2 linked regions of the Daphnia pulex genome follow. The main gene of each other region encodes a partner of the protein of the gene in region 2 in a complex. Links are inferred from orthologs where the notes say so. Each region holds a gene or a part of one and is shown on either strand. Other genes may lie near its edges.

What was found.
Region 1: BUD13 homolog (region 2) and G-patch domain and KOW motifs-containing protein-like share a complex: the UniProt entries of both Homo sapiens proteins name them as parts of the minor spliceosome. The link is inferred for Daphnia pulex from reciprocal best matches to the Homo sapiens genes BUD13 and GPKOW.

Annotation. Positions count from the first base shown.
Region 1 is NC_060019.1:132,889-149,506, forward strand, and holds G-patch domain and KOW motifs-containing protein-like, read right to left. Parts: upstream 7,150-16,618; 5' UTR 7,053-7,149; coding exon 6,898-7,052; intron 6,834-6,897; coding exon 6,548-6,833; intron 6,489-6,547; coding exon 6,382-6,488; intron 6,312-6,381; coding exon 6,128-6,311; intron 6,070-6,127; coding exon 5,937-6,069; intron 5,872-5,936; coding exon 5,764-5,871; intron 5,585-5,763; coding exon 5,415-5,584; intron 5,351-5,414; coding exon 5,195-5,350; intron 5,133-5,194; coding exon 5,001-5,132; 3' UTR 4,943-5,000; downstream 1-4,942. Other genes in the region: uncharacterized protein LOC124189688, read left to right, coding at 1-74, 143-255, 318-533; protein phosphatase 1 regulatory subunit 37-like, read right to left, coding at 1,532-1,792, 1,856-2,521, 2,589-2,721, 2,781-2,910, 2,979-3,129, 3,203-3,322, 3,388-3,534, 3,602-3,711 and 1 more; trehalase-like, read left to right, coding at 8,520-8,611, 8,675-9,015, 9,088-9,233, 9,306-9,589, 9,655-9,955, 10,019-10,209, 10,285-10,329, 10,397-10,565 and 2 more; 3-oxo-5-alpha-steroid 4-dehydrogenase 1-like, read left to right, coding at 11,288-11,453, 11,509-11,686, 11,760-11,926, 11,989-12,033, 12,096-12,370; uncharacterized protein LOC124190685, read left to right, coding at 14,947-15,027, 15,145-15,206, 15,429-15,556. UniProt on the Homo sapiens protein: RNA-binding protein involved in pre-mRNA splicing. As a component of the minor spliceosome, involved in the splicing of U12-type introns in pre-mRNAs.
Region 2 is NC_060019.1:12,599,639-12,615,792, reverse strand, and holds BUD13 homolog, read right to left. Parts: upstream 8,035-16,154; 5' UTR 8,012-8,034; coding exon 7,899-8,011; intron 7,797-7,898; coding exon 6,404-7,796; 3' UTR 6,351-6,403; downstream 1-6,350. Other genes in the region: uncharacterized protein LOC124191303, read left to right, coding at 1-162, 220-363, 426-1,350, 1,413-1,932, 2,004-2,273; follistatin-related protein 1-like, read right to left, coding at 3,612-3,957, 4,033-4,096, 4,169-4,281, 4,364-4,604, 4,686-4,964, 5,049-5,079, 5,402-5,473; glutamate carboxypeptidase 2-like, read left to right, coding at 8,519-8,579, 8,645-8,765, 8,842-9,133, 9,197-9,319, 9,381-9,564, 9,651-9,741, 9,830-9,938, 10,001-10,070 and 9 more; probable G-protein coupled receptor Mth-like 4, read right to left, coding at 12,018-12,399, 12,471-12,618, 12,685-12,854, 12,916-12,946, 13,008-13,055, 13,124-13,382, 13,451-14,239. UniProt on the Homo sapiens protein: Involved in pre-mRNA splicing as component of the activated spliceosome. As a component of the minor spliceosome, involved in the splicing of U12-type introns in pre-mRNAs.

The sequences.
Region 1 (16,618 bases), about 12 Mb from region 2:
GACAACAGCCATTGAAATTGCTTTCGAAGGAGATGATGAAGCAGCAGCAGGCACAGAGATGAATTTAAAAGAAGGTAAAAACAACTTATTTTGCTATTGAGTATAACATCAACATCTTCCAAGACCAAATTAAATTTTGCAGATGAAGAGGAATACAATGAAGCTATTGAGGATGTCATCTATAAACGAAAACAAGGAACCAAGATGTGCAAAGACGTCCTAGAGAAGACACTGGCCATTGAAAAGAAGGCAGCGGTATGTCTGATCTAATCTTTTATCTGATTCATTGGACTTGATGGTTACGTTGTTTGTATCAGTTGGCTGTGGAGGTCAACCCAGGAGTAGTCAATGTGCAAGAGTTTGAGAGACAGCCAGTACCATACAAAAAAGAGGAACTCAAAGTTTCAACCAAGAAAACTTTGAGCAACATAAAGTCCTCTGCATTTAAAGTGCTTGATTTAAACCACCGGGTGGAAGAACTCGTAGAAGCCGCCAACATTATCTCAAAAGAAGTTGATGCTGTTGAATTTTGATCCACTTATTCAAATTTGTGAATGTCCCAAAGATGTATGGATACCAGGTATTGTAATTAAAATAAAATGAGTTATATGTTGGATTATTTTACATGTGTATTATTGGGGTAGTGTAGTTGTATCAAGTAATTTAAGTAATAAAGTGCGTTTCTAATACGCCACTGATATTATAGTAACATCAAATTGAGGGCAATTGAATCAATTCTAAAAATCTTTGGCCAACATGTTTGTATTTTTCGAAATGTCGATGAAAACAAATACTGAACATATACACACACATTAATTTTTTGTCTAAACTTTTGGTTTTTGTACTGTCGAGTCCTTTGTGGTGACCAATATAATCGAGGAGCAAAATGATTTAAAAATTTAAAAAAAAAGCCAAAATAAACAAACAAAATCGTGCGCGTGATGACGTCAATGCCCTGATAAGATATTAAACAAACAAAAAGAGAAATTGGACTCGGACATCAAAACCATATTCCTCAAACGGAGAAAAATGCATAGTAGATTTTGGTTGTTTTTTAAATGTGTGTGAATCTTTCAAAGACGGAAAAATGACCAACAGCAATTTGAAAAAGGAAAAGAAATGGATATAATAATAATAGAATGTTTGAAAAAAGTGCGTCCCGTGAAAAAACAACAGATTTTTATCCGTCAACAACAACAAGGGGGAAGAGCGACGCACTGGCTGCTACAATGGATGATGTATAACAAGAAGAGGAAGGGATTCATAATTTTTTGGTCAACAACTCGGGGGGGTTAGGTTGAATGGCGGAAATGGATATCGGGAAAAAAAAGAAAAGGTATCGAAAAATAAACCACCGGGTTATTTTGTTTTGGTACTGTTGTTGTTGTTGTTGTCTGTCCTCCAAAATATAATTTGTTTAAGTATATGTATAGAATATAAATCTGTGTGTCAACAGATGGACCATGTACGTGTGTGATAATAAAAGAAGAATGGGGAACCGGTATTGTTTTGCAATGAGAGAGGGTGGAGCTCAGGTGGTTAAAACGTCAAAACCGACGATAACTTTGCTGGGAGAACTACGAATGAGACTGGTGTAATCGGTGGCAGTTGAAGCATCTTCCTTGGTGCTATCGGCATTGTTATTGGATGAGTGCACTCCACCAGGAGCAGGAGCAGAGTCACCCGTGTCTGGCAGTTCAATTTCGGGAGTTGTCACAGCCACTGGAGTGACGGTGAAACGGGAGCGTGGGGAAGGTAAAGGCGATTGACTCGGTGCATCCACTCGAGTTACCTGGACAAATTGATAAATAAACTTTGAATAATTTTTAATTAAATTAGCACAGTAGAATGTCACCTTAAATCTTCCTCCGCTGGGTGAAGGCAGTGGACTGGGTGACGGACTGGGCGAAGGGCTGGGCAATGGACTGCGAAGTTTCCGCCTGGGCTGTTGATCATCTTCTTTGTTATTCAATGGGAGGAGCAGCTGCTTATCGCTCGGCGGGACCAGACAAGTGAGCGAGATTTTGCGAGACATGACCTCATCAGCATTGGCTTCTTTATTGTTGCTGGACCGCTTGTTGAGATCACTGGGCAGGCTGGACAGAGTGTCACTGTCGTTGGCTTCAGTCTCGTGAGATGTGCAGCAAGTGGCGATCTCTTCAATCAGACGCTGATACTCGGCAGCATTTTGATGGTGGCCGGAGGTAGTAGAAGGAGGAGGATCGATGGGATCCAAGTCCAGTTGGTTGATGGTCGGACAATGTTTGAGAGCAGCAGCCAGGGCCATCAATCCTGCCAGTGCGATCTGGTTTTTACGCAAATCAACCCGTTTCAATTGCGTTCCAGTAGCCAACGATTCGGACAGCGAAATGATCCCTGGGCACGTCAGTCCGTTCTCCTGGAGTCCCAAATGCAAAAGCCAACGGTTGCGCTCCAATCCAGATGGAATGAGTCCAATAATTCCTTCGTCGCCTAATTTATTATGACCCAAATTAAGTGTTTGCAGAGTCTGGTTAGTTGCCTGTTTAAAAATAATAAAGCTGTTTAATTATCGTGAAAGTTGTTTAATGTTGTAATTTAAAATGTACCAAAACTTTGGCGAGAGCGGGAGACGATTCGTGAGTGATACCGTTGTTCCAGACGACAAGCGAGATCAGTCCAACATTATCCAACAGAGCATCGCAAATGTAACCCATTCCTTTATCTAAAATTTCGTTGTTCCTAATATAAAACCCCAAAATTATTATCAAAATTTTGTTGTTTAATTAAATTTGATTCACCTCAAGTCTACGTGCTGAAGTGACGAATTTCCAGTCAACAAAATACCAAGCTGTAAGGCGTCGAAAGGCGTTAATTTGTTTTCGGCCAGGTGCAGCTCACGAAGATTCCGGTTCATTTTCAATGAACTTGCTGTTGAGTAACAACAACTTGTTATTGTGTTTTGTTGGTTTATATTTAAAAATTTTAGTAAACAATACCGATGATGGCAAGCGACCTTCCGGTGAGACCACAATCGTTCAAGTACAAAACCCTTAGGCGAGAGTTGGATCTCAGTGCCCTGGCCAGTAAAGTTGAGCTGTGTTCCGATAGCCCAACTTGAGCTGCGTCCAGCCATTCCAAACACTCGGTCTATATGTACGACACAATAACAAACGTGAGTCATGGGTTAAAAAAGATTGCACAGGAAAAACAATAACCACACCCTTTTGATCATGCGACAGCACGCTTGCCAGCCCCTGCTGGTCATGTTCTTGTTGGAGGCGATGCTCACATGGGTGGCTGCTTCGTAAAATTCGATCATGTCGAACAATGCAATCAGACCCTGATGATGGGAGAATATTACAGCATATGAATTAAACATTTTTCAGGCCATGTGACGGGACTTACATCATCACTGGAGTGGGCATCTCCAATATCCAAGAGTTTCAGAGGAACATTTTTCAAAACATCCTCCAACGATTCACAGTCATGGGAATTCAAGTTGCGTCCTCGCAACGTGAGGCTGGCCGAGCGTGGACGACTCAAGTCCAAAGTCTAACTTCCAAAAAGGGAATAAATTAGCATATATTTTTCCCCATTTTATGGGTTTGTACCCAATGACCTTTAACTGCTCAATAATGTGCTCAACAGGTTCAGCCTCGTTCTTCTTGCACGAAGAGGTGTATGCAGCAACAATGTTGATATCACTTTCTTCTTCGGTAAGGATACATTCTGAAATAATTTTAAACAAATTTATTATCTGGAAAGTTACAATACATAAAAGCCTCAATATACCTGGAACGTCAGGAACTGTGGGCTCTAGGTTCTGGACCAACTGGGTCTCGTCAGAAGGGAAAGAAACTCTCTTCTCCAACATCCTGCGTTTCTGCTTGATGCCTTCGAAGGGCAGGTCAGAAGACTCGTCCAGATTGTGAGAAAGATCAAGTTCATTTGGGGTTTCATTTCCCGTCTGACATGCACCTGTGAAACGTAACCTGCTGCTCCACTCTTCAATTTCTTCAGCCATCTTAGAATGAGTAGCGAGAATCATGACCCACACCTGTCAAGAGGAGTTGGACAAGTTGAGAAACGTGTTCGACGCAGAAAGAAGACATATGTTGGCAATAATAAGTCTATATAGCAACAAGAGTTCTTACGAGCGATCACCAGATAGCATTTCCATCCAACTGAAGCGAGTGCGTATAGATTTCCCCGATCAAAACCTCGAGTTGAAAATATTATTAAATGGGAATAACATGTATAGAGAATTGACACAGTGACCACGAGCACGACGACAAGCGAAAGGGGTATATGTAGCTTAGCGTTATATGTTTTTTTGTTGTTGTATGGCGTGATAAGTCTCGCAGTAACAAGGCAACGACCAATCAGCTGCGAGAGTAAGGAAACAACTGAAGAGCGGCCCTGTTACTGAGCTGTTACGTAGTCTGCACACAGCAGACCTTCATCGTTCGTTCGTTCGTTCGGACTTCGGCGGGAGTCATGAGAAATGACCGAGCGAAAAAAAGCCCCCCCACTGTCCCCCGTAGGGTGGTAGCCTATACGCTTTTCTCGTGAATTGATTGAGCTACGCTGTGTGGGTTCAGTGTACTCTGTACCGAAAAATATCGATGCAAAAATAAAGGGGAACACGCACGTGAAAGGTGTGTACCATTACCGTATTCCCCCTATAGCTCGTGTATTTTTACGATGCCGGTGTATACTTTAATAAATCCCATTGAAAACACACAAAGTTCTTGCCAGACTGACTGGCGCGCCTTGTACTTTCTCATCTCTTTTTCCACTTGAAAAATTTGCATTAGCGTAACGTATCATTAAAATGATAAGAGAGAGAGCTTTCGGCAAACATTTGCATAATGAGAGATTGCCACAGCTGTCTGGGTCACGTAGCAAATTATGTGAGAGGTGCAACAATGAAGACAAAAAGGGTGAAAATCGTTATGAAATTAAACACGAATAGCACATTTGTTTTTATTTAAAAACCAAGTCGAGTTATTTTGTGATTACAAGTTGCGCACATCTCCCGTGTATTCGCAAATGTCGTCGTAGTCTAGTTGGAAAACTTCATCGCGATCCGGTAGAATCTGGACGGTGGCCGTGTATCGTTCCTTGTCCCTTTCAATCACTTGGCAGACCTTTTTATTAAAAAATAAACAAGTTAACAAAAACAACATGTGTGTAAATTTCAGCTAACAACCTGTCCTTTTCGTTTGCCCTTGACGACCATGACGTAAGCGGGATCGCTACGCGGAATGACAGTTTCCAATTTAGAAATGTTGACGTTTTCCAAAAGTTTCCCGTTTTCGGCTTTGCAAATGCAATGATTCTTGGAAATCACGTCCACCACAACCATCTGGAATTCATACCAATCGGCGTGAGAGAAATTCATCTTTTATTTTTAGGACATTTTTATTTACTTTCTGTTTGTAGAATTGGCCGTCCTTGAATGAAGAATCGACGCAGCGGACTCGCAAGAGTGGGTGAAGCCAAGGTTCTCGTTTCTCGTCAGAACCTTTCGACGACCGATTTTTAGAACGAGATTCTTTCTTCTCATCACGGCGCTCCCGACTGCCACTCCGACGACTACCTTTTTTAAAATAAAAGGAAAAAATTATTATAGTGGAATTTCATTACAAACTGATTAATTAACAACGGGAAATTCTGACGGTACGGGCTGGGCGGCTGGCACGAGAACGCCAATGATAAATGTAGGAAAGCGTGACCTTGGGTAGGAGGAGCTAGACAGGACAATCTATCACTACTTACGATGGCTAGGACTATGCTTCCGTTTCTTTCTGCTCTCGCGATCATTTCTTTCCTTCTCGTTTCGCTCCTTGTCCTGTTTCGTTTTGTACTCGTCGTATTTTTCCTTGTCTGAGAATTAAAAGAAAGATGATTAATTTCAAGAAGAAATTTGGCTTGAAATAGATTTAATTTACTCAGAATCCTGGCGGAATCACGATATTCTTTAGCAGAAACTGGTTTCAGAAAGAGCTCGCTCATTTCCAATTCGTTGCTTCCGACAGCCATCCGCACCAGAGCACGACCAGTGTTTGCGTCCATGCTAAGAACCTGATGAAACAAATTTAGTTATAATTTAATGGCAGATTTTAATAGAATTTTTACTTACTTGTCCATATAAACCTTGATGTTTCCCGCTGAGCAACTGTACATTTGCACCGATAATCACTTTGAGCTCTTCTTCGCCTTCTTTTGGCTTTGTTAAAGCTTTAGCTGCATTTTCTAAAACAGTACGGTCAGCCCCAAGACCAAGTCCTTTAGGCCTAAGTTTCACCTCCATGGGAGCAGCCACTCTTGATTGAATAAAAGATAATTTGATGAGAATTCAGAACCATTAATTAATGTGAAATATGGCAATGATACCCTTTTCTAGAGAGACCGATACCCTCTGAGGCTTTCCAACCCATTCCTCTCAACATGGCCATTCCATAGGCTTCCACTGGGATCGCTTCATAATCATCAAGTGTGGACTAGAGAGAAATGTCAAGAGTTAATTACATAATTAAGGTGCAGTTGCGAAATTCAGTACCTGATCTGCACGGAGGGAAACATCTACTTTTTCATCTGTTTCAAAGCCAGATGGAACACGATTTTGCATAAATAGGGGGATATCAATGTTGGAGGGTACGCCATTGCCTCTGTTCTCCCAGCCATCAACAGCCTTCAGTGTTTCTTGCAGGATTTCTTTTTCGGCTTGCTTGTCCAAGTCTGATGCTTCTGTGTTCTCGGTTTTGGTATCACTGCCAGGGGTCCTCCACCGATTCTTTGTTATAAGAGGAATAACCAGTTCCTTTTTGGGTGCTTTTTTGATGGATCTAAATAGAATAATGCAGAAAATGAATGTAAAATTAATATTTTGTGGCGGGAAAAGCAACATACCCATTGATTTTGTTGTGCTCGACAGTTTTGACGAAATCAGTCTCTTCGCGAGTTTCTTGAGTCGTATCCAATAGTTTCGACTGAGTTAATTTCACGTTATCATGTTTCTTTTTTGAACTAAAGGCAAAAGACACACCAGGCTTGGTTTCCGACATAATGACACACGAATACGTTAATATCAAGGATTTCCTTTTCGCTCAGAAGATGTCTTTATGGAAACAACAAAAAAGGTGGGGAGACGCAAGCAGACGAACATTGAAAAATCAAATCAGACAACTGCCGTGCATTCTGCGGTGGTATTATAACTACGCGTAGCTTCTGCATAATTTTCGTGTAATTAAAATATCTAATTAATTCGCTAGGCGAAGGCGATGTTTCGTCGTTTTAATTAAATTGTCTGAAGGAAAAATTCAATTATGTTACTAGGCAACTGCAACTGATTTGATTTCATCCTGCCTGACGCTGATGCCGCCAGGCCACAGCCGCGGTTGCCTCTAGTGCCTACTTGACTTTGATTAAAATGTAACCGAGTACGTAATTAAAAGGAAATGGAGCACGAAGATGAGAAGATGATATCATGGGCTCATTTTGTAACTGCCTGTAGCGTCACGCAATGGAGATGCTCGCATCATATTGACAAAGTTGTAAGGCTTCATCAAAGAATTGAGGTCACTATATATTGATACTGATGCACGTAGACCATTGAAGTGACATAATCATGTGACACAATCAAGTATATTTATTTAATAAAATCGAACGACCGGGGCCTTGATTTTTTTGTAGGCTGGTTCCGAAATTGACCAATCGTAACCTTCGGTGTAATCTACCAGACACTCGCTAGATGTCTGCATCGGACGAGTCAAGCAGACGACAAAATAAAACTCTAGAACAAAAATATTTACGCATTTACGAGCATCGACGATATTTGTTCATTCCAAAACAACTACGTACTGCCATAGAGTGTTGGGTTTGATTTCGTCATTCACTCCTTCCTCTATGGTACTACTAACACAGTGCTGTGACATAATTCCAACCGTATGTTATTACAAAACACATTTATCCTGACCTGAAATTTATTTGTACCAAGTGTCTTGCTCCCATTTCTAGGAAAAATAGGGTTAAGGTTACTCGACAATTTGTTGCTTAACTTGGAATAGATTGGCTGTTTTCCCAAATAGTAGTTTATTTTTAAAAAAAGATTGATTTCATTTCGTTCAAGGTCTCCATGTAGCCACTGGCCCTATAAAAGGACAACCATTCGAGGTTGTATTAGTAGTAGAATAACCCCAAGAGACGATCTTTCTAGTCTGTAATTTTCCATTACGACGACGACATTTCAAATCTTTTACCAAATTCAGAAGGCCGGCAATTTAAATGTTTTAAAAGTTACCTCCAAGCGTTAAAAAAAGTCCCCGTATACAACAGGTAGTAAAAAAAGAAGAAGGGCGTCGATTTACCCTTTCTTTTCTCAATTAAAAGGGTCATTGACGTTTGTTAACCCCCCTTCGATTTAAAACGGTGAAAAAAAGAGGTCTTTTACGGTCAAGGTCATCGACTGTCGTCCGCCAAACCGAGGAACTGCGTTCGACTTGTTTGCCTTTTTCGCCAGTGCATTCTGAACAATGGTGCGACTCGTACGTCTTTTCTGCTTGTTCATCTCTTCTGCCACTTTTGGACTTGCCCAAGTTCAATCTCTTCCTCCGCCATGTCCAAGGTAAATTTCATCTATTTCTGTGTGTGTTGGCAATGATTAATCTTTTCGTGTTTCTCTCAATAGTCCCATTTACTGTCACGGTCCACTCTTGCACACGGTTCAGATGGCCAAATTGTATCACGACTCCAAGACTTTTGTCGACAAGAAATTACGTTTCGACCCAGAATTAGTTGCAGCCAATTTCACTCAACTGATGAACCTTACAGACAATAGTCCATCCCAAAACGATCTCGTCATCTTCATCAGTCAACATTTCGAGAGTGAAGGATCAGAATTTCAACCGTGGGATCCTTCCGACTGGCTCGACAGCCCGTCATTCCTTCAAAATATCAACAACACACAATTGAGAAATTGGGGGAAAGAATTACATGGAGCCTGGAAATTCCTAGGCCGACAAATTAAAGGTACAATGCAAATTTTATTACAAGTTTTCCATTTTTTTAAATGACACATTTGTCGTAATTCTTATATAACAGATGACGTCAAAGAACGCCCCGAGCTATACTCGATGATTTATGTGCCTCATCCTTTCATCATTCCTGGAGGAAGATTTCGTGAAATTTATTACTGGGATTCTTACTGGATCGTCCAAGGTCTTCTCATCTCTCAAATGAACCACACGGTTGGGTCTAAATAATTTTCTCTAAAAGTTTAAATCAATATTGACAAAACTTTTGATTATTTTGTCTATTAGGTGAGGGGAATGTTGGATAATTTCCTGCATATGGTGGATGTTTACGGCATGGTCCCAAATGGCGGTCGCATCTACTATCAGCTGAGGTCGCAGCCCCCAATGTTGATTCCCATGGTGGATCGTTACATCAACGCCACTGGGGATGTCGAATTTCTTAATGGGCGGTTACATCTCTTGGAAAAGGAATTTCAATTCTGGATGGCCAACAGGACAGTCTCCGTCAAGGGACACACTTTGGCGAGGTTTAATGTCGAATCGGATGGACCACGACCCGAATCTTACATGTAAGAATTCCTTGATTTAATTCGTTTTTAATAGAGGTTAAACACATTTTTCTATCAATTCCCAGTGAGGACTTTCATTCGTCTGCCCACATGAGTGAAATCGATCGTCAAGACTTTTACATCAACATGAAATCGGGAGCTGAATCCGGTTGGGATTTCAGTTCCAGGTGGTTCATTGTAGACGAAGGTCACAACGAAGGCAATTTGAGCCACATTAGTACCCGCAACGTCGTGCCGGTCGATTTAAATGCCTTTGTTTGCATGAACGCTCGAATGCTTTCGGAAATGTTCCGCAAAGTCGGAGATGACAGAAAGGCTCAAATGTATCACGACAAGTACATCGAGTGGAAAAGAGCCATTCAAGCGGTTAGAATAATTCATTTTTAACCCAATTAAATTGATTAATTAACTTTTGATTCTTTTTTCTAGGTGCTGTGGAATGAAGAACAAGGCATCTGGCTAGACTACGATTTAACTAATAATTTGCAACGACCATATTTCTACGCATCGAATATCGCTCCGCTATGGGCCGGTTGCTTGGATGCCACTCCATCCGGTGGCGTAGACTCTGCTGTTGTCCACAGAGTGATGGATTATCTGGAGCACAGTCAATCTACAAAGTAATAATGATGATGTTGATTATTATCGATGTGTTTGTTCACGTTTTTCTCGACTTTTCGATTTTTTCTTTTTAGATTTGCCGGAGGAATTCCGACATCCATGCAACACACTGGCCAACAGTAAGTGTCTTATTGACCCTACGGTTTATCTACTGAAGCCTAAACAAATATTTGCCTTGTTTTTCAGATGGGATTTCCCTAATGGGTGGCCGCCCCTGCAACACATGTTGGTTGTCGGTCTTGAAAATACCGGTGACCCCAGAGCCAAAGCCTTGGCCTTTAATCTCGCCCAAAAGTGGCTGATTAACAATTACGATGCATATCAACAAAGTATGCCCAACGCCATGTTTGAAAAAGTACGTCCAAGATAGTCTCTGATTTAATTTAAACGGTTCAATTTTTTAACAAATTCCTTTCCATTGGTTGTTTAGTATGACGTGACTGTTGTTGGACTACCAGGAGGTTAGTTGAACAACACAATTAATTTTATTCAATACCCTTATTAATTTATCAATTTTTGATGTGCAGGTGGTGGTGAATACGACGTTCAGCTTGGCTTTGGTTGGACGAACGGTGTCATTTTAGATTTCCTGCACATTTATGGTGATCGATTGGTGACTGAACAACCGACAAATACTTAATTATTATGTAACTATCTGATTTCAGTTTTTGTGATGAAGAGAAAGAAAGAAAAACCACTATGATTGTAAAATTTTATTGACTATTTTATGTAAAGTAATTTCTTTTCTGTTTGGTTAATTTCCCTGTAATCCTTGTTACATAATTTGCATTATTTTGTGTTCCCGATCCTAGTCTCATCGCCATATTGTACATGATTTCAATTTTTTGTAATTTTTCTTCTATTTTTGGGTTTAGAATACAAATTGTGCACTTACAAACCAACTGAATAATTAATTAATTAACAAATCAAAATAATTTGAATATTGCGCCAGAGCCATTTTAGTAAATGTGGCAATGTTCAAAACGTGATAATCGTCTAAAATGTAAACATCAACGTCACTTCTTCAAACCTGTTTTGTTAGACGATTCAAAGCTTTGCAAACAAGTGGCCGCCAAGATGTTGGAAAAATTAAATTCTTGTGGGGATGAATTTATTACCAGCTATTTGCATCCTTTATTTGGTGCAAACAATGATTCAGAAATGTTTTCCCAAATGGTCTGGATTTCATTCTTCTACACCCTTAGTGTCGCTGTTAGTATGGCCTTATTTCCAGCACCATATGGTAAATTTAGTAACTTGTTTTGAGTATTATCAAAGTAACCATTTTTTCATTAAAGGACGATACAGCAGCTCAAAGTATGGCTTCCTGCTTCCTGCAAAAATCGCTTGGATAACTCAAGAATCTCCATCTTTCATAGTGCCAGTCATTTTATTGCTGACTACATCTTCAGCGTTTTGGAATTCCACAGTGAATAAAATGCTCTTGATAGGGTTTATTATACATTACGTAAACAGGTAAAAGTTCTTAATTATTCCTTGTTTACTCAAGTTCTTTTTGATAAACCGAGGTTGACTATATCTATTTCAGGAGTATTATCTTTCCCTTGTGTGCTCGTGGCAATGAAGATACCCCTTTTATACCATACATCTCAGCAATGGCATTTTCCATTTTCAATGGGTTCATGCAGGGGCATTACCTATTAAACTATTATCTGTATGATGAACAATGGCTAACTTCTCCTCAGTTCATCATAGGTATTTTTAGGGTACAGGAAAATTTGAAATAGATTTTATTAATGTACCTTTTGTTTTTTCAGGATTCACCATGTTTTGTGTTGGAATGGCCATCAATATTCATTCAGGTACATTGATAAAAAAGCACTTAATAGAAGAAGTTAAAAGTTTTGTAACTTATTTTCAACAGATCAGCAACTGATTCACTTGCGCAAACCTGGAGAAACTGGGTACAAAATGCCTGTCGGCGGATTGTTCGAGTACGTGACTGCACCCAATTTCTTTGCTGAAATCATCGAGTGGATCGGTTTTGCCATTGCTTCCTGCAGTCCTCCAGCAGCCGTTTTCGCTTTCTTCTCCACAGTCTTCCTTTGCTACAGAGCATGGCACCATCACCATTTCTATTTAAAGAAATTTGACAACTATCCGCGATCCAGAAAAATCATCATTCCATTCGTATTTTAAATTGTTGGAGTGTTTTGTTCTTTATGTTTAAAGTAGGAGAAATCTAGATGCTATGGCCAAATGTTTTTATGCAGATCAAACATAATTTTCAGAATAAATTGAATCAAAGAGATTCGGTTCTGTTTTAATCGTGGTAAAAAATTACGTACATTCATTCTGCTTTACAATTGAAACTAGAAATGTGTATTTGACCAGCAAATGGGTAAGATTAGATACTTCAAAAGGTCAGAACAAATTGATTAACACATATTTTCGACTTTTGAAAAATAGTAATCAGCTTCTTTAGTACGGCGGTTGACGAGTTCTTGAACAACTTGGCCATTCACGTAAACCCATCGCAAACATTCGTCGCGGATAGTTGGGTTGTCAGGGCCAGACACGCACCTTTTTCAAAAGAGTTGAAGTCGAGAACGCTCCGGTTCCGATGTTGTAAGTGATAGAGACTAGCGCGTCGAATTGAACTTGTCTTATAACAACTCCGGTTCCAACTAGTCGGTCAACCTCTGGGGCGAACTTTATTTTTAAAGAATTCTAATTTAATGCTTACTTTATTCGCGCTAATTATTAAAACTCACTGATTGATCCACCCAGTATTGAAACAAATCATCGGCTCCTTGCTGAGTGATGGTGTCTCCTTTAATTAATTAATTAATTCGCTATGGTCGACCTGGGTCCGCATCACTTCATCTTTGATATCGAATAAAGGTACACAACTGATAATATTGACACGAGCAGGTTAACGGCGGGCGACGCTGATGTCGATGATGGTCACACAGTTTAAGTTCGTGGAGGAGCTCAACGTTAAGAGCACAGACTCCCCACCTTTGACTCAACTCTACCGACCACACCCTTTCGCTAGATCGACGGTGCCAACAACTGAACAAACACAGCACAGACCCACACACCAGATGCAATCAACTCGTCAAGTAGGACGTATTTTTATCTGATGTTAGTTTAACGTTCCTCTGCATACGTATGTGCAGCTCGACGAGGATTACGCGTTATTATGTTCCCAAAAAGATGACGCAATACCTAGTTGCAAATAAAACAATATGTTGTGACCCTATGTTGGTCTGATTTGATCACATTTTCAAGTTCAGATATAGGCCTAGCTACTCTCGGGCCGACATTACATAATATAGCACCCACAATCATAAATTTACCTTTCTTATTACGACAACAGCGATGTTTCTAATGTCTTGGCTGATTTTGACAGTTTGAGCAGCGACAAATTAAAAAGTGGTGTTTAGTTTAGATTTAGAACTGATGCGCAGGAAGATTTTACATACCTGCCAGACTATGTGTCACTGGTGTCACCAGGTGTCACCCAAATGACCCAATGACATGTCATTGCAAATACGGCAAAATTGTACTTTTAATATTGATCTAGTGTTTTTTTCCCCGTGTCGAAGTCATGGCAGACAGGTTCATAATTTAGAATTATAAATAGCAAAAGAAAAATAGTAAAGTAAACCAAACCCCGTCATATCATATGAGTTGATGTATTAGCGGTATTAATGTAATCATTTTCAAAATTTCATTTTTTTTTCTTCCAGATTTTTAAAAAAATCTTGTTTTTGCCGCTTAATTTCCCTTCGGTATCTAATTCGGTTTGGCAACATGACAGCATTGCCAACTTAGCCTGTGGCCACTAAATGGCTCCTCCTTCTTCCTCCTTCTCCCCGCCAAAAAAAAAATGTCAGCAGTTAGTCAGCAGCAATTTACGGTCACGTCGGTCAGCAGTCAGAGCCTTTGCGTTAGTTATGGAGAATTAGAAGATATCTTGTTGTGTTAAGTTGTGTATCGAGACGAAGGCTATGAATGTTGAATGCTTCACCAGCTTCAATCAGCTATTTCTGTGTTTTGAATGGTAAATTACATTAATTTCAACTACAGTAATTTTTTACAGAATGTGTGGGTCCTAAACTTGATTGATTCCTTTCACCATGTGCAGCAGTGCAGTTAAATAGTAGCTGATATCATGTGACATCTTTCTGCAATGATATGTTCATTCTGTTCAGCACAATGTTGTGTGGTGATTCAATATTAGTCATGCAGGACTCCGATTTAAGTTATGCAATTCAGATAAGTTGGTTGGTGATTATTGTATTATTAACTATAATGTCTTTTTCATGATGTTTGGATAGTGATTCAAAATTGCTCATCGGTATAGCAAGATGACTGGATTATTGCAGCAGTGCTACAGTCCAGATGGGATTCAACTCGAGGAATTACAGTTGTGAATTTTGGTCCAAGGCTACCCTGCTGGTATGTTCTATTTACAATTTTGGTCGGCCAGTTAAGAATTCATGACGACAAAAGAAATTCTGTTTCCAGGCCGATGATATGGAAGTGAAATCAACTCTTTTTGATGTAACTACAAGTTCCTAATTCCGTCAGTGCCCTACAACTAGTGTTTGATGGCCAGTCACCCTGTATGGATGACTTTCAACTGGAACGACTTTCATCATCTAAGGAAATCACTTGACGATTGTATTTTCTTCTAAATGTGAGGTTTAATTTGTGGTAGTGCTAAATTTTCTCTCTCGTAGGTTGTTTTCCTGATTGACACATTCATGTCAGCTCTTTACACCCATGTCACCAACACAATCAGCTGGAAGATTGAATCTCATTCTGTGGTCGTATTTCTTGAAAATGTGATAACTACCACATACTTGGACTGATGATTTTGAGGATACTATGACAATCGTTTAAAATTGTATTGCTTGTAGTCTACAGTCTAACGTTAACATGTTGTTTTTGTTTCGTTTCAGAGAATCCTGGTGTTGGAGCCTGGCGTTGCTGCAGCGTGTTACTGGTTAATCCTCGACATTGTGTAAGTTGTGTGTGTTAGTTAGAAGCTATTTGTCATTATCCACAGTGATGATTTGGGCTCTTTCTATCTTGGTTTACGGCAATCTCGCGCTGGGGTACATTGTTGCCCAATCGAAACCCTCGGTAAGGTCTGAGATGAGCCACCAAACGAGACCAAAGTTCACCAAGACTTTCAATTGTACATTTCAGGTTTCACTAATAATAACAAAAACAATTAATCCAGGAAATATTCTTCCGGCGTCTTCAGCTCAACTCCCGTTACCTCCGGATCATGGCCACTGCTCCTGCTGTCGGATGATGTCTATGCGGAAATTGATCCTGACACAACACACCGCAGCTGCCTTTGTTCAGGTCAGTTCTTTAGCTTACCCACTAGTTTAAAAACTAAAAATTATTCTGCAACGCTTTACGCACCAGCGATAGACTACTAAAATTTAGGACAAAACCATATTTAAAAATGCGATTTTGAAGTAGATTTTTCCCCCTATGAATGAAAGCATTCATCTTGAAATATTTTGTTTGTTTTGGTTCCCATGACGTCTTTTTCTTTTAATCGATTAGCAATTCCCTCTCTTTGTCCATGTTTGTTGTTCTTTACGCAATCCAGCGCGTTTTGCCTGCTCTTGTTTAAATAATTGACGTCCACATCTTCGTGATTGAGGATTAGTTCGTCAATTCCAAGATATCTTTAGCCAGAAATGATGGGGTCTTCTCCCTTTTTCAGCAAGTAATAGCGAAAAGTAGTCATTTGTTTGGCACATGATGCATGATGGAGAGCGGTCGCGACATTTACTTAAATCTTCGTTGAATAAAAATCGAAATAGCGCAGGTTCCATTATTTCGGTCTCCTCTTTCGCCACCTAAATAGTCACGCACAAATGGGAACATTTTAATTCATTTCTCCATAATGATGCACAAATGTTTTCAAACAAGATCAAATGAAGGTTCCAGTACGTGTGCAATGTATCCGTTAGTTTTTAATCAATGAGAAGGAATGATTTTGTCACTTTTATGACGAAAGGGGCTTCCCTCCACCTGGGGAGGATAAGGTAGATCCTCCTACCGCATTTCACCACTTGAGATCTTATTTTACATATCTTGTCCCGGCAGCTAATTGCATCCTCTTTTGCCGTTAGCTACTTTTTGGGATTTGAAAATTGTTTGCCCGCTGTTCATTCCAACTTATCGACCACTGCATTTCAAACCCTTTCCTCTCGTTTTCTTTCTTCGTTACAAGAAGAAAAACTTGTCTTGTCTACTTTCGTCAGTTTGTTTGAAAACGAGCTTCAGCTCGAGCCTACCTGGGTCCGCATTTGCAGGTTTCGTGATTCCACCGGCGGGTAGTTTTTTATCAGGTGCAGTCGAGAGAAGCAGAAGGAGTTGCAATGGGTCGGACTTGGTCATCCGCAACGG
Region 2 (16,154 bases):
CATGCTTGCACATTTTAAAGGATTCAAACTCTCCGCTCATTGAGGATCTGTTGAAGGAATCTCATTCGGTTATCGAGCCCACAACTACCCGCCATTATCTCTTGAAATTACAGGAAGCGATTGCAAAAAACAATTCAGATCCCGGTGGCAAAACTAATCATGGTACAATATCAACGTTAAACAAAATCGAACATTTTAATCAAAATAAAACAATTACAGGAAGAATATTGAAAAACATATTACCCGCTTTGCTGAGTTTGCATGGAGTGAACAAATCGCTCGATATTTTTTTGAACATAGACTACGATATTGCTTACGGAACACTTGCGAATTTTGAAAAAACCCACGAAGCGGTTCTGAAAAGTAATTAATTGAATTATTAATTTGAAAAACAAATTCACTAATCCATTCCGTTATTGAAACAGGTGACTACAAGACTTTAATATTGCAACTCTTACGGCTTCGTCCAAAAAGATTCGACGAGTGTCATCCTAAACTGGTGAAATTAAAGGAGCTTGTGTTACGTCAGCTCAGCGAAGATGACAATAGCAAAATTTGGATTCGCCTATATCGTCATTCAAACATAATAGCTGAACGTATTGAACGTCTGTTGGCTAGCGTCGACGTCCAGTGCCAGGTGGATCCGCAAATTGAGTGTCCTGAATCTGAAGGGTCATTTTTACCGAGTGGTAATTATCCCGTCTTCGTCGCGGAACAAGTGTCCAAAAGCTTTCCTGCTAGTATGCTTTCTCTCATCATCCATTACGAATGGCCGTCGGTAGAGATGGACAGGCAATTTGCTCGAATTACGCAAAAGGCAATAGAGATTAGCAGACCAGTTCGCCCGGGAGATGCGGAGAACATTCCTGACCAGCAAACCATGGTAGAAGCCTGTCTCGTGTCAATGTCATCCACAGGTCACCCTTTAGATTCATCTCCTTTCAAGGAGCCCGAAGTTGATGACTCTGATGATTCAGACGGTTCTGAAATCTTTATCGAACAACAAGTCGAATCGACTGCCAACAAGGAACCTTTAATCAATTCTCAAGATGAGCTCCTCCTTCATATTCATGATGCAATTCCGATCGAACCTCCCGGCGAGTCCTGTTTTGTTTCACAACTTTCTGATGAAGAGAGCCAAGAAGAAGAAGACTTTAGTAAGAGTCCAATTATTACCAATGAAATCGACCGAATTTCAGTTGCAGATATCGAAGATGATAATTCTGGATCGATCGAGCCTCTTCTTCCATTGGTTTTATCTTCACATTTGGCGACTAATGCAGAACTTATGGAAGCTATTGAAGCAGATGATAATTCTGGAATCTTCATAATTCATGAATGCGATTACGAGTAAATAATTAGACTATCATTGTAATGGACAATTCTAATCATTACATTTTATTTCGCTTTAGATTTTTGGGCTACATTTCCAAGTATCAACCCGATGTTTTGTTAAGTGCAAACACAGCCCTGCTGATCGTGCACGAACAAGAAAAGTTTGAGGAAACCCGTTTGAGAATTTTGACAGCCAGTTTCAAATGCACGAAATGCTGGGTGATAATATTGGCCCCAGGTGTGATCAGTTCGTCCAAACCGCCTGTACAATGGCATTCTCTCGCTGGACTAGCCCGGTTCTACGAGAAGAAAGATCGCAAGAAGACTGAGACCCGGTTTCTGTTGAAACCACGCATAGCCCTAAATTATCATCAAGTGGCGTTCATCATCAAAGACGTTGCATTAGACGAGATCAATCAAGACATTGAATCCCATCTGCAGCCGCTCAGTACCGAAGCCAAACGTTTACTTCATATTCCGCAATTGAATGCCGTGACTGCGCCGTTAATCGCCCAGCACTTTGACGCAAAAGAACTCGTTACGCTGCCCGTGGAAACGCTCTGTAATCGGATTCCAACTCTTCGCCAAACCATCAAAGTAAGAATTTCTGTATAAGCTATTATCGCTCGAATTTTCATCTTCAATTTTCTCTCTCGTGTTATCTGTAGATGCTTCGCTACTGCCACGAAATGAATAATGAAGAACAGGAGCCGCCAGTCGAGGACATGGAGGCAAACTCATCTTTTGGCCATCTCAAACACGCTCAACCCTGGGATCTAGAGACAGAAAGTCTGGAGGAATGTGGGTCACGCCAGTTGCCAACGCCAAAAAAGAGAGCCAAACTGGACAGTGACTATCCGGAAGAAATGGGCACGCCTTTTACCGTCAGTCAGCTCCGAGACATGTGGTGCTCTCCTTCCCCTAATCAGCCGGTCTAAGTTTATTCTCTGCTTCTGCAAAGAGATTTTCTTTTCTTTCTCGTGTTCCTTTTTTTTCTAGTTCAAGTTTATTCGCATTAGTCATTTACAAAGAAGTGTGGAAAGGTCCAAAATGACATTTGAAACCCGTCTCGTCTCACAGTGTCCCAGTTTTTACGTCAATCCGTTCCATGAAATGTTTTTTAAGTTGAAAAGGCGTCCAATCCAGTAATGAAAAGTGAAAGAAAATGCGAATAAAGCACAAGGATATATATTGTTGTTTAGACCATTTCAAGCAATCTAGCTAAATGCATGATCAACATCTGCGTGCAAGGTTTGCACACACACACAACTATTTCTACTTGCATTAATAATACTAGACCCTCCGTTGCAATCCTCGTTCCCGTATTCTCATCAAGCAATCATCGTGCATTCACGATGAAACAGGCTTGCGTATCCAGGGGCAATAATGACCAAGAGGTTTGCGTGTTTTGGCAACTCGGGACTCTTCTTCTTCGCCCGTTTCCCATGGCTACTGCCATGGCGGTTATTTAATTTAAACATCGCCCATTTTCTCTTAAATAAAGAAGAGATCACGACGCCGCCAAAAAGGTATACCTCCTTTGAAGGAAATCTCACCCGCCCACACAAACTTACAAAAAAAAAGCGAAACAGATTCTATTATTCACTGTGAAAACATGTGTTGGCCACAAAAACTAATTCTGACTACACACCGAAATAAATAAATAAGGTTAAACCAAACCCGAAATAGACTTGTTAAATATTCTGCTTTCTCTGTGAGACTGTCTCTATCAGATAACACAGTATATATTACTCGTCGCAACACCAAACCTAGGTGACAAACGAAATGAGCGTGAGCTGGTCGAGGGGCCGCCTTTCAGGGCACGGATACATCCCCACCCATTCACCGGCGATGCAATGTTGTTTCGCCACCCGATCGATGCATCAATGTCCGCCTTTAACTAGGAGAGTATTATCCGAGAAAAAATATGCAGCTGACTCGACATCAAGGAGCGTAGAACTTCGATTGCCGGGGGAATGTATTGTACAGCGCCGTAGGGACGAAAGCGTCAAGTGGAATTTAACCCAGGTATTATGTTAGCTCGATGGTGGAATAAAGACAAAGAAAATTAACTCGTAAATGTCAGCACCAGGCGAGAAAACGCACTGACAATTGGGGCTTTTAAAAAATGTAGAAATTAAAAAAACAAATGTACGTAAAGTATGAGGCCAGCAGAGTGTAGCTCCCCATAAATGGCACGCGACGACGTCGTTAAAAGCAGAAGCTAACTATGGGGAAAAAAGCTAAACAGAAGAAGACTTAATAGACCCAAAATATTACGTCAATTTCTTCTTCTTGTTTTTAGATGATTTCTTGATTGGCTCCACGTCGATTTCTTCATCTTCTTCTTCGTCATCTTCCTCGTCTTCTTCGTCGTCCATATCGTCGTCATCGTCGGAGTTGATCTTTGGTGGCTGATCCTCATCCGGATCGTCAATTTTCAGGTCGATATCCTCCTCAATTTTGAGAATCTTGACTTCGTCCTTGGTGCTGTCTTCGCTCTGGTCCTCAGCTTCGTCCAACTCGTCGTCCAAATCTTCGTCTTCATCCAGGTCGTCGATTTCGTTCAGCTCTTCGTCACACTTCTTGGAAGAGCACACCCAGCTGCCGCAGGCGCAGACACTAATTTATTAACGGTACTCAATGAAATCGCCATTCCACACGCGTTAATAGTCTGTAACGTTAAAATAAACTGACCAGTCATTACAATCGACTTTTGTTTGGGAGCCGTCCTCGTACTTTTTGCCCTCCAAAGAGCACACTATAAAATGGAAATGGAAAGCAATGAAAGAAAAACCCGATTTTTACACAAAACACGTCTCAAATAACTCACGCTTTTCTTTCGGCTGGAAACTAGAATCCATCAAAGTCTTGTACTCTTCAAAGTCCAACCGCCAGTCGGAATTAGTATCGGCTGAATCGATTATGGCGTCGACACACAACACTCTAACAAGTAGAACAAATTATAAAACAATGTTTTCCATGAATGGAATAAAGCTGGCTTTTTTTAAATTAAGACGAAACTTACTTGACCAGCTCGTTGGTGGCGGCCGTGGTTCGCAGAGCGAAAGGGACTTCAGTCACGCAAGCGGCTAATTCGTTGGCATCGACAAAGTTGTCTTTGGTGGTATCGCACATGAAGAAACGGGCAAACTGCTTCTCGTAACTCTTCAAGTCGGGTCGGTACCAGCTCTGGTCGGCGGTATGATGCCGGAAGTAGTTGATGATTTGGCGACGTAGAGCATCCCTTTCCCATTGGAAACACACCACTGGATTTCCCCCCAATAAAAAAGCACAGCATTTGAATATTTTGTCCATCACGAAAAGCATAAATATTGAATAAAACTTACCTGGCTCAAAGTGATTTTCATCTTTAAGTTTATCCTTTTTGCTGGACTTTTTCTTGATCGACTTGTTGGAGCAGTATCCCTTTTTCTTGAGACTGATGTGAACGCCCGTCAGACAGGCATCGCGATGCATCAAGCAAAAGTTATCGTAGGATTGATTGTTGCTGCCGCAGACGGGGACAAAATGATCCGGACAAGTGGCCAGGCAAGCGCAAGCAGCCTCGCCATCGGCACCCACCTTACACTCTCTTCCAGCCCGGCATACCATCATACTGCATTCATCTATTCATCGTCAAGATCCCATCAATAAATTTCTAGACAACTCGAAACGTTCTGTCGAGATAAAATGCTTTGTGTTTACTGTACCTTCGCCCAAGCTCATATCCAGCGCATTTTCCTATACCAACAAAAAAAGAAACAGAGAAGGGAATAAGTAACCCACACAAGTATACACAAAACAAACCATCACATTTCCATACGAAAAAAAGATTTCGACTGTACAGATGGGTCAAACTAAAAAGAATTAACGTGACGACCAGGCCGTGAAGAAGATTAGAATTTTCACCCGTATCATAGATGCCACTGCTTGGTAGGAAGAAAAAAAAACACAAATTCCTAACAGGATTTACTGGTGACCGTTTTGAGATAAATAAGCCTATCCTTTTTTAGAAGAAATGGGGAAAAAAAAATAAAATACTCTTTCGAATGATTGTGCTTACCTCAGAATTGGATGCCAAAGCAGCTTGGAAGAGGATGCAAAAGAGGGAAACGAGGCCGAGTATCCGCAGCATTTTTCACTTCTGCACAACAATCCGACAGTTCTATAATTGCAAATCTGGAATTTTCTTCTCGTTTCACAACAATGGCAAAAAACCCAGAGAGTCAACAGCAAAGAGGTACAGACTGAGCACCAGCAGCGGCCGTGTTACCAGGTGGCTACGACCAAGACTGAAGCTCGGAGAAGAGCGGCTGCGTAGGTACTTTCAAAAGACGAAAAGAGATGTGATGTTTTCTCGTCTCGTCGTGCGAGCCAATGGCCAATGGCTTTAGCAGTGGTGAGAGAGAGAGAGAGAATGAGACGGCAAAGAGAGAAGGTCTGGATAAACTGGGAATCAAAAAGGAGGAGACTAAACACAAGAAAAAAGAGAAGAGAGAAAGCCCCGAAACATAGACAACACGGACAACAGGGCACACCTGAAAACGGCCGGCCCACTTCGTGCCGTGACCTTCCTCCCTTCTCTTTCGACACACTCAGCCAAAGCGCCATCTGGCCATAGCGCACTCGACACACTCAACAGAAACGACCCCAACGCCTTTTCTTTCTTTTCTTTTTCTGCTGCTGAACAACAGAAGAAAAATGATTTGAAGGCAGCCAAGGCCGGAAAGGGTGTCATCTTCCGGATAGAATTTTCCGATTCAACCACGACGGACGATTCATGAATAGCCGCACCTCCTCTACAACATGGGTTGGGCAACTTTCACGAACTGCTGGTAGAGTCGCGACTCGGAAAATGTGCAAAGTGTTGACGCCATCCGCATGGAATTTCCTCCGCGCGCCTCTCGTTGAATCTGAAAAAAACCCTGCAATTTTGAATGTTGATGGATGGGCCCCATTCCGTCGAGGTAATAAAAAGGGAAATGTTAAGAACAAGGACAGGCGTCATTGGCTACTAAAAGTAATTGCATGGCTTTATTCAGTCAAGGTAAATTCATCATCGGAATCACATGTCGGATACACTCCATTTGTAGGCTTCCTCCTGAAGGGCCACGGCGTTGTTTTGTTTTTCAAAGTACATCTTCTCGTAGCCAGTCGAGCGGTCAACCCCGTCCCATCTGTAGCCGGGTAGTATACCGAAACGATTGGGAGCAGCAGCAGGGCCCCTGTAGACAGGTCTAGCGGCTTTCCCCTTGCCGTCACCACCGCTCTTGACCTTTTTCTTGGCCATGTAAGCAGCCATGGGATCACCTTCACGATCTTGTTCGCGTAACAACCTTTCCAAATCTTCGTCATCGGCGAAACGAGCCAGCGGTTTGGACATTTCGTGAATGGCTTCGGCAACTTGCGTCGAATGCGTTTCTCCTTGTTTAAGACCCTTGTTCCATTTTTGGTAAGCTTCTTGCAGCTTGGCAATCTTCTCGGCTTTTTCTTTATCAACCTGTTGCTTGGCTTCAATTTGGCGCAGCTTGCCAGCTCGGATGGCAGTCGTGGCGTTCTGCCCAGTGAGTGATTTGTCCATTTTGCGGAAGGCTTCCTCTTCTCTCTTGCGTAATGCATCAGTCTCCTCACGCAAAGCTCTGCCAGTCTGAAGGCCGGCCATCTTTCCATCTAGGGTTTTGGTCAGTTTCTCCGAAGCTCCTCCGCTGCGTGATGTTGATTTATTAGGACGCTCAGGGCTGAGGTCTCCGTCTGGATCTGGTTTGATGCGCATTTGGGCACCGGAATCAACGTTTTTCTTCCGCCGCGGAGGACTGAGATCACCGTCAGCATTTTGATGCTTTCTTGGTGGACTCTGGTCGGAATCGGAGCCTTTACGCCTTCTTAATGGACTTTGGTCCGAGTCTGAATCGTGTCGCTTTCGTTGTGGGCTTTGATCCGAGTCTTTCCTTGTTCTTCGAGGAGGACTAGCATCTGAGTCTGAATCGTGACGTTTTCGTGGTGGGCTTTGATCAGAGTCTTTTCTCGTTCTTCTAAGTGGAGATGGATCAGAGTCTGAATCATGGCGCTTTCTTCTAGGTGGGCTGGCATCTGAATCAGAATCGTGTCTTCTACGTGGAGGACTGGGATCTGAATCTGAATCATGTCTTTCTTTCTTCACTGTGATTGGTCGTTTCAAGGCAGTGGAATCTTTCCTTGGTAAGTGACTGTCACTTGAATCAATATCTCGATCACTTGATTTAGACATGGATTTTGGTTTGTCATTTTCATCCACACCAAGTCTCTTCCACTTTGAACTTTCCACAAAGTCTTGTTTGGTTATCATTTCTATGGAACGATTATCGACAACCCCAGCCACCAGAGGAGCATCTTCTTGGTTGTCAATTTGGTCTTCATCTTTCTCGTATCCTGCAGCTATCTTCCTCAAATCTATTTCTTCATCAACGATCTTGATGCCCCTAATAAGTAAATGAAAACAAATTGACTAGATTAAGAAAAAGCTTAAGTTAAAATTAAAAAATGATGTGTATTGTCTAAAGTTCACAAAAAGCCTGACTTACCCTTTGGCTTTCAGTAAGGGCCTGAGTTTCTTTTTCTTGACTTTATTTTCTTCTTTTTTCGAAGAGGACATGTACTTTTTCAGATATTCTAATTTGCTCATAGGAGCACTCATTTTTACAATAATTTCAGGGGAATATTTACAAACCGTAATCCCTCGCGTTTGTCAACGCTTTCACACGAAATATGAATACAAGCTCCACCTATGGTTAACGCGTGAAACTATACACCATCTATCGGGAAGTTTTCAAAATAAAAAAAATTGTTTAAAAAAAATAGATTTATGTAATAGCGATTTTAAAGAAATGTATTCATTGCCTATGGCGTTTACATTTTTTACAAGAGTCACCCGTCAGTTAAGCATGCGACCTGTCTTGTGTTAAACCACAAGCAACCGATGGTCTGGTTGGCTTGTCAAATCACCTTAGTTACTGTCCAGGTATTTGCGTGCCGCTGCATATGGAACACGCAATCTCGAACCCGACTTTCTACCCGCACTTCCCGTGCTTTCATTGTCATATTTTCAGCTATTTAATAACCTGTTTCTTTTCAAACCGTCGTTATTATTTGAGGTACAGTAAACGAGAACGGAAGGGTGTGGAGAAGTGATCGCAGCGAAACGATGGCGCAAAAACCCAACTGGATTTTAATTTGCACGGCTTCTGTAATTTGTCTTATCATAGGTATCGTAATCATTTGAAATGTTACTGTATGTGTTGGTTTGACTTCATCTTTCCACCTGACAAAGGAATTCTCATCGGTCGTTACGCTATCGGAAATGATAGGGACGACGTGTCGCCTCAGAAGGCGAAAATGTCTGCCACTTTGATGGAGGAGCTCAGTGCATCAAATATTGGCGAATATCTCAAGTAAGTCCAACATCATCGCTAATCAAAAGACAAATTTGATTCATTGTCTAATTAACTCCCAAAATGATTGTCACAGATATTTGAGCAGTATACCGAATTTAGCTGGAACTCCACAGGATTTGGAAGTGGCTAGTTGGGTGCGCGATCGTTTCGTCGAGGGAGGATTAGACGAAGTCCAATTGGTTCCTTACAAGGTGCTGCTTTCCTACCCAGACATGAGCAACCCCAATCAGGTCTCGCTACTCGACTCCAACGGCAAGGTGAACTTCACCACCTCAGGACGTCAGACGCCACTCTTTTCCAGCGAAGAATTCTCTCCGTTAGTTCAACCCAATTTTAACGCTTATTCAGCTAACGGAACTGTCGAGGTGAAATTAAATTTCTATCGTTGTTTTATTGATGACACTTAACTTAATTACACCATTTCATAGGGGGAACTCATTTACGCAAATTATGGTCGGAAACAAGATTTTGAGTACTTGAAATCTCTCGGCATAGACATTCGTGGTCGAATTGTGATTGCTCGATATGGGGCGATTTTTCGTGGCAATATCGTAATCAATTATTTTTAAAAATGTATTGAATTATTACTAACATTTGATATTTGTACTACAGGTGAAATCCGCCGAAGATGGAGGAGCTCTTGGAGTGATACTCTTTTCTGATCCCAAAGATTTCGCCCCGGAAGGGCGCACATCTGTCTATCCCAACACAACGCGACTTCCGGGCATGGCTGTTCAAAGTGGTTCAGTTCTGTTGGGTTACGGCGACCCTTTGACCCCTCTGTACCCAGCCTTAGGTATATAAAGCTGTATAGTGAGCGGATGTAACAAGAGTAATAATAACACAATAAGACTAACAAAACAGTTATATTTACGTTATAAGAGGGCGCTTACAGACTGCCGGAAGCTGAAGCTCCACTACCCAAAATTCCTGTTCAGCCCATCGGATACGACGAGGCAGAAGTTTTGTTAAGGTGTGTGAGCGTTGACATTTTTGTTGTGTCAACAACCTTTGATACAAATATAGTCAATGAATTTCATTTCCATTCTTATTTTTATTAGATCCATGTCTACAGAAAATCCTGCACCGGAAGACTGGCAAGGTGGTTTGAATGCAACTTACTTTTTGGGGTCGAAATTCACCCAAAGGAAATGGTCCGTTCGATTACAGGTAGCTCGAAAATAAATTGGTAATTTGCCAATTAATTTTTTCACAAACGTGTTCCCAATTAGGTAAGAATGACCCACAAGCTAGCTACAGCCTATAATACGATTGGAATATTATACGGTAGAGAAGAACCAGGTAAAATCATTTTTGACACACAATTATTTTGCTGATAATCCAAAACCATTTTGGGATTGAATTAAAGACAGGTACGTGTTAGTTGGCAATCACATGGATTCGTGGACTCTTGGAGGCATTGATCCGGCCAGTGGGACATCAGTTTTAATAGAAATGGCCCGCACTTTCGGCAATATCAAAATGCAATCAGGTAATAACATCTAATATGCGTTAATTGCTCTGTAGTTGCAATCACGTAACGATGTATTATGTAGGCTGGCGTCCAAGGCGCACATTAATGTTTTGCGGATGGGGAGCTGAAGAATACGGCATGATAGGCTCGTACGAATGGGCCGAAGAACACGCAAAGGTGCTCATTCAACGTGCAGTGGCCTACATTAATGTCGATTCCGCCATGGAAGGTAATTGATGAATCACAAAACACACAATCAGTGCTGACCTTTTCGTTGGAACCAAAGGAAATTACACCTTAAAGAGTCAAACAGTGCCTTCGCTATACTCTGCAATCAGAGAGGCGGCCAAAGTGGTGCCCAATCCTAATCCAGCGGAAGTGGAAGCCGGACGCAAAACGGTTTTCGATACTTGGTTGTGGGCCAATCCTGATCTCAACAATCCTACCCAACCGCGGTAAGTTCTTTTATTTATTATTGGAATCTTATTCTAATATTTTATATGCCAACGAGTGTAGCATAGGTAATTTAGGAAGCGGAAGTGATTACACCGTTTTCAGCCATGTTCTGGGCGTTCCTTGTGTCGATTTATACTACGACTATCAGGAGGTAATATTTTGTGGCCAGTATGACAAATAATTTTAACTTTGCGCTAATCGACGATAATTTTTTGTTGGATAGAAAGCTGGATCTTACCCCCTTTATCACACTCTCTACGAGACCTATCACGCGGTTGCTAATTTAATGGATCCGGGATTTCATTTTCACCTTGCCGTTGCTCGGCTGGTATGTGGGCACTTCATTTAGCTTATGATGATGCAACCGTCAAGAAAATTCTTAACATTTCAGATGACCGAATTGACCTTGAATCTCAGTGAGTCGGTGGTTCTTCCATTTGACGTTGTGAGTTACGCCAGTTTTCTGGAAAAAGATCTTGACAAAATCGAGTCGAGATACAAAAGCTTGGCAGCCGCTAACGGAGCCACTTTCGGTAACACACAGAATCGTTGAAATTGTTTTAATTGAGTTAATTTACCATTATTCTTATCAGAATATTTCAGGAAAGCCGTTGCACATTTCAGGAATTCCACCGAATATTTCACTGACACCATTTTACCACGTTTGGACAGGAGCAAGTAATAAGCGCTAGGGGTTTTTAATTGAATTTTAATTTAAACTTTATTTTCTAGTCCTTTAGCCATTCGTAAAATCAACGATCAATTGATACAACTCGAAAGAGGGTTTGTCGATCCCCACGGTCTCCCCGGACGTCCGGAATTCAAGTATGGACATAACAATAAATATAATTCGAGGATTGCGTTGTAATTGTCTCGTAATGTTTTTTTCCTTTGGCAGTCACATCGTATTCGCTCCTAGCTCGGTGGATAAATACTCAAGTGACACCTTTGCGGGCTTGGTAGATTTATTCAAGACCGTTGGTAACCGGACGGAGCAGCCCAATACTTGGCGCCAAATCAAGCAACACCTTTCCGCAATTTCTTTTTTGATTGGAGCTGCGGCTGATTCTCTCCGCGAAGGATTCTAAATAGTGATCCCTACAATACACCTTTTGTGTCTTTACGTGGACGAATAAGCCGCTTGCTATCCACGAACATTAATCTCTATTTTGACTCTAGTTTAATTTCATAATTTTTTAAAAATAAATTCGATTTCGTACTACGCTACACTTTTATTAGTTGAAAGTATATAGTTAATCAAATTCTTCGAGTTCAAATTGTGTAATAAGTAGGGTAAATATACATGCCGAATGCCGAAATTATTTATCGATGGGGTAGAGCCGATAAGTGCTAGCTGAATGCTGAGCCAATCCTGACGAAATAGTGCTCACTGTTGATCTTGCGGAGTTGTTGGTGCTTGTTGCAGTGCCGTCGTTGTTCACTTGGTAGGTCTGCGAATGAAGCCACGGGAACTTGTGTCGGTGACGACAAATCAAACTGCTCGCGTGAGCTTTGATCATGTTCAAAGTTCCGCGTCGACAAACGAACAAATAAAAGATGGACGGGCCGATCATTAAGAAAATGGTGGCGCAGAGCATCAACAGTTCGGGATGGGCTCGATCGGAGTCAACGAACCACTGAATAATTCTCGGAGCTGTGTAGAATTGCATGAGAACGAACAGCCGAAATATCGTGTGGATACTAAAATAATAAAGTAGGGTCGAATTTAAGATTACACATCGGTGTAAGTAATTTGAGACATAAATAATCACCGGCTCGATTCCACTTTACTCAGCGCATGTTTAGGTACCGATCCCTGAAGAAAACTTAGACTCTTGTAAATTTTCGCAGCACTTGGAATGAAGAAGATTAAATTTCCGGTCAGGAGGAGAATATTGGGCGCTTGCGAAAGGTTCCTAGCTATTTGTAAAAGTATAATCTCATTAACAGCACTAATGTTAAATGTTGTAATTTTAAGGGTATTACAGACAGAATCGCAAGACCAGCAGCGTTTCAATTTGGTTGGGCATCCGTTGTATTCCTTGTAGTAATGAGAAATCAAAATCAAAGCCAATGGCAGTCCCCAGGCATACAGGCAGCGACAGAAGTAAGCTTTCATCAGCTCGCGTCTGTTTAATCTTCTTGATATCTTCGTCCTTGAAACAATTCCAGTAGTATTACTGTAAAACCTGCTGGTAGTAAGTTGTTATTGCATACCTTAATTGCCGGAAAATGTTGTATCCCATCACTGTGCAATAAATGAACCGTTTTATTATTTGTCCAATTCCGTGTGAAATTTATTCTTGTACCTGTGATCCATGTGGATGAAGCGTACCGAAAATAACCGCTTATGCAAGCTATATTTTCCGAGTCCAAATAGCATTGTTAAGTAAAATACGGCAGTAATATGACACATTTTTCGCACCTTTGTTTAAGCACCAGGTATGCGGCTCGTACTTCGAGAGTAAAAAGATGCCGTTTTGGAAGTGCATGACAATCAGACAAGCAAAGAAGCTGAGCATGGAGTAGGTCTGGATGTTCTCTCTCAGTGAGGCCAGCAGCAAGTGGACCAGGAAGGTGATGAGCAAAAGAACAGCTGAAATCAAGTTGAAAATCGAGTAGACGTTGTTCAAAAGCCAACGCATAACGTAGAAGCTTTTCGGCAGACAAATCATTGCTATGGGCTGCAGGAATAAAAATACTGTACACAAATTTCATAACAAATCGATTAGAAGAATAAAATTAAACTTACGCCTTCCGTCCCATTTGCGTACACAGTGCTATCGACGCAATAATTTTTCGAGTGACGAATGGGCCCGTAAGCGGCCTTCTTGACATAGAGACCCAATTCCTGACTGACTTTAAATCCGTGATCGATAAAGTAGCCCGGCAAATAGACGTTGTAATCGAAATCGCATTGGAGCGAAGCATTATCTTGAACTACGATGTCATCCGCACCATAATAATTGGCTGCTGCTGTCGATTCGAGAAAGTACGTCACTGCCAGTTGTGACGGTGGTCCGTCTTGGTTGCTAACGACGCATTGATCGATCGATGTGCGATTGATCAACTGTCCCAAAGGACAACACTTTCTTATTTGAACTGGGCGGCGACAGAAAAGGACCGCGGTCAATCCCATCCGCGTCGACGGCTGAACGCAGTAATCTCCTTTTAAAAGAGTTCGATTGGAAAATGGTTCGACAATCGTCCCGTTCTGTGATATTTCCCCGGTAGTGAAATACAACAGTTTCGAACCATCAACATTAGTACACTGAAATAAAGGGTCCATCACTAATTCAGACGTGTAGGTATTTAATTCTTCTAATGGGTTGGCGCTACCCAGCACCAGGCCGACACATTTTTGATCTTCAGACAAGAGTTGATGTGAATCGCAACACAAACTATGAAAAGGAAATTTGGTTGTCGGTTCGGCAATCACTGCAACCCGAATCCACAAGGTAAACGATAAGGAAATCAAAAACATTGAACCTATTATTATCTTGATGCGTCGAAGGTAAAACGGAACTGCGAAAATCCACATGTCTTCTAAATTTTTAGAGCTGTTTTAACCGGACGGTATAACTCTGGAGAAGGCTGATCTGGTACTGGATCAGATTTTTTTTCTATTCTCACATGCAGCTATTAGCTCATTCAGAAAACGGTAATTCTGCCAGTTCCCGCAAGCTCCATTTAAGAGCTGCACAATAATGAAGCACAATTATGAATGCAGGAATCCCCCGCTATATAATAATTTATCATTAAAGTTATGGTCTGATGTTCTTAGAATCTCCTTCTTCCTCTCCAGTAATAGTTCTTACATTTATCCTGGATTTAATGAGTCACGATTTTTTTTAGAAAATGGTTTAACTTTAGCCTTAGCTACCTTGCGCAAAGTGACGTTGCACTGGCACTGGCACTGTTTTACTTCTTACTGATGTCGAGAAATGTCCACTACCATCTTATAGGATTTCACAACTTCGCAGCCAGGGTTTCCCCGTTTCCACTCACATAGGCATCACCCAATGGTTTGCCAGATTGCTTAAAAAATACACCACTCAAAAATTTAAAGACACCAAAAACTCACAGTGAGAAAAAACTGGATAACACACTCAAAACAACACAATTTTTCTTCGGAAAATATGTCCAATCAGAATTTTTTTTCAGCGCAAAACCTTCAAAACACTAAAATACAGAAAAATAAAACATCAACACCAGATGCGACACCAACGATTTTTCAAAATCACCAAATTGGCAGAGCAATAGAATACTGGTATAACCAGATCCTGGTAAACGCTTCAGCTCCAGAGAAATAAATTATACAAGAGGAGGCAGACAGTGGTTATTCCAGTATTCTGAAATTGTATTTCTGAAATTGGTCTTAAAACACCAAAAGTGGAAACTTTGGTAACATTTTTTAAGTAGTTGATTCGTCACTCCGGAGTTGAGAAATGAAAGCCAGTTTACGATGAAGAATAAAGAAGTTTTACGACCCCGTATTATTTGCTGTAAAAAATAATTATGCTGTTAGCCACTATAATTATTTTGATGGATGTGAGGTATAAAAATGGCTTTCGAAACAAGAGGAAATATTTAATGGCATGTAATTTTCGGCGCTACAAATGAGATGTTATGAAAGTTTCAGCACGCGCATATCATTGTTATCAACTTGCGTTAAACACAAATGCATCAATCAATCAACAAATTGTTACTCATTCATTCTCTCGGCCCGCCCGGACATTTACAGTTGTACGCTCATGTATACGTTTAAGTAGCTCAATAGTCCGCACTTTCAAACTGGTAGATGATAAGAAGATATTTGAAAAAAATCTCCAAAGTCTTAATAAATAATCGAGTGTATAAGAACAACTTTCTAATAAATAGGCGTGTTGCCAATTTACTGGAATAAAAGGAATAATAAGAAATTCATTGGTACCGGAGTTGTAAAAGTCGGTGAAAGTATTACGATGCTTACTACTTACAATGAAATGAAATTGCATTCATAATTTCATTATTATTTATATAGGACGTAAAAACAATTATAGGTTACGTATAAGAAGAGAAAACATTTCTTGGAACAGTATATTTAATTCCATTTTTATTTATTAATCCGGATTAATCAAGGATGATGATGACGTTCAGGGTCATTCAAGGTGCGTTAATAGTTCAGATGTTTTTCATCTTTATATTGATCTTGTCCTTCTTTTGTTTGCGTTTGGCAATTTTTCAAGTGATGGCCAAGAATGGCATTATTGTGTGCTTTTGTAATAATTGTTGAATATGTTGGAGTGGCAGAGCCACTGCTTACACGTGCCTGTTGCTATGCCAATAATCGGTAATAATCAAATGCTGATGACAATAAATATTCGCGACAAAAATTGTTACATAATCGATCCTTTCGCGGTCCGCCTGGCACATTTGAAGTTGCGCGCAGGTACGTTTCAAGGAGTTCACTTGGT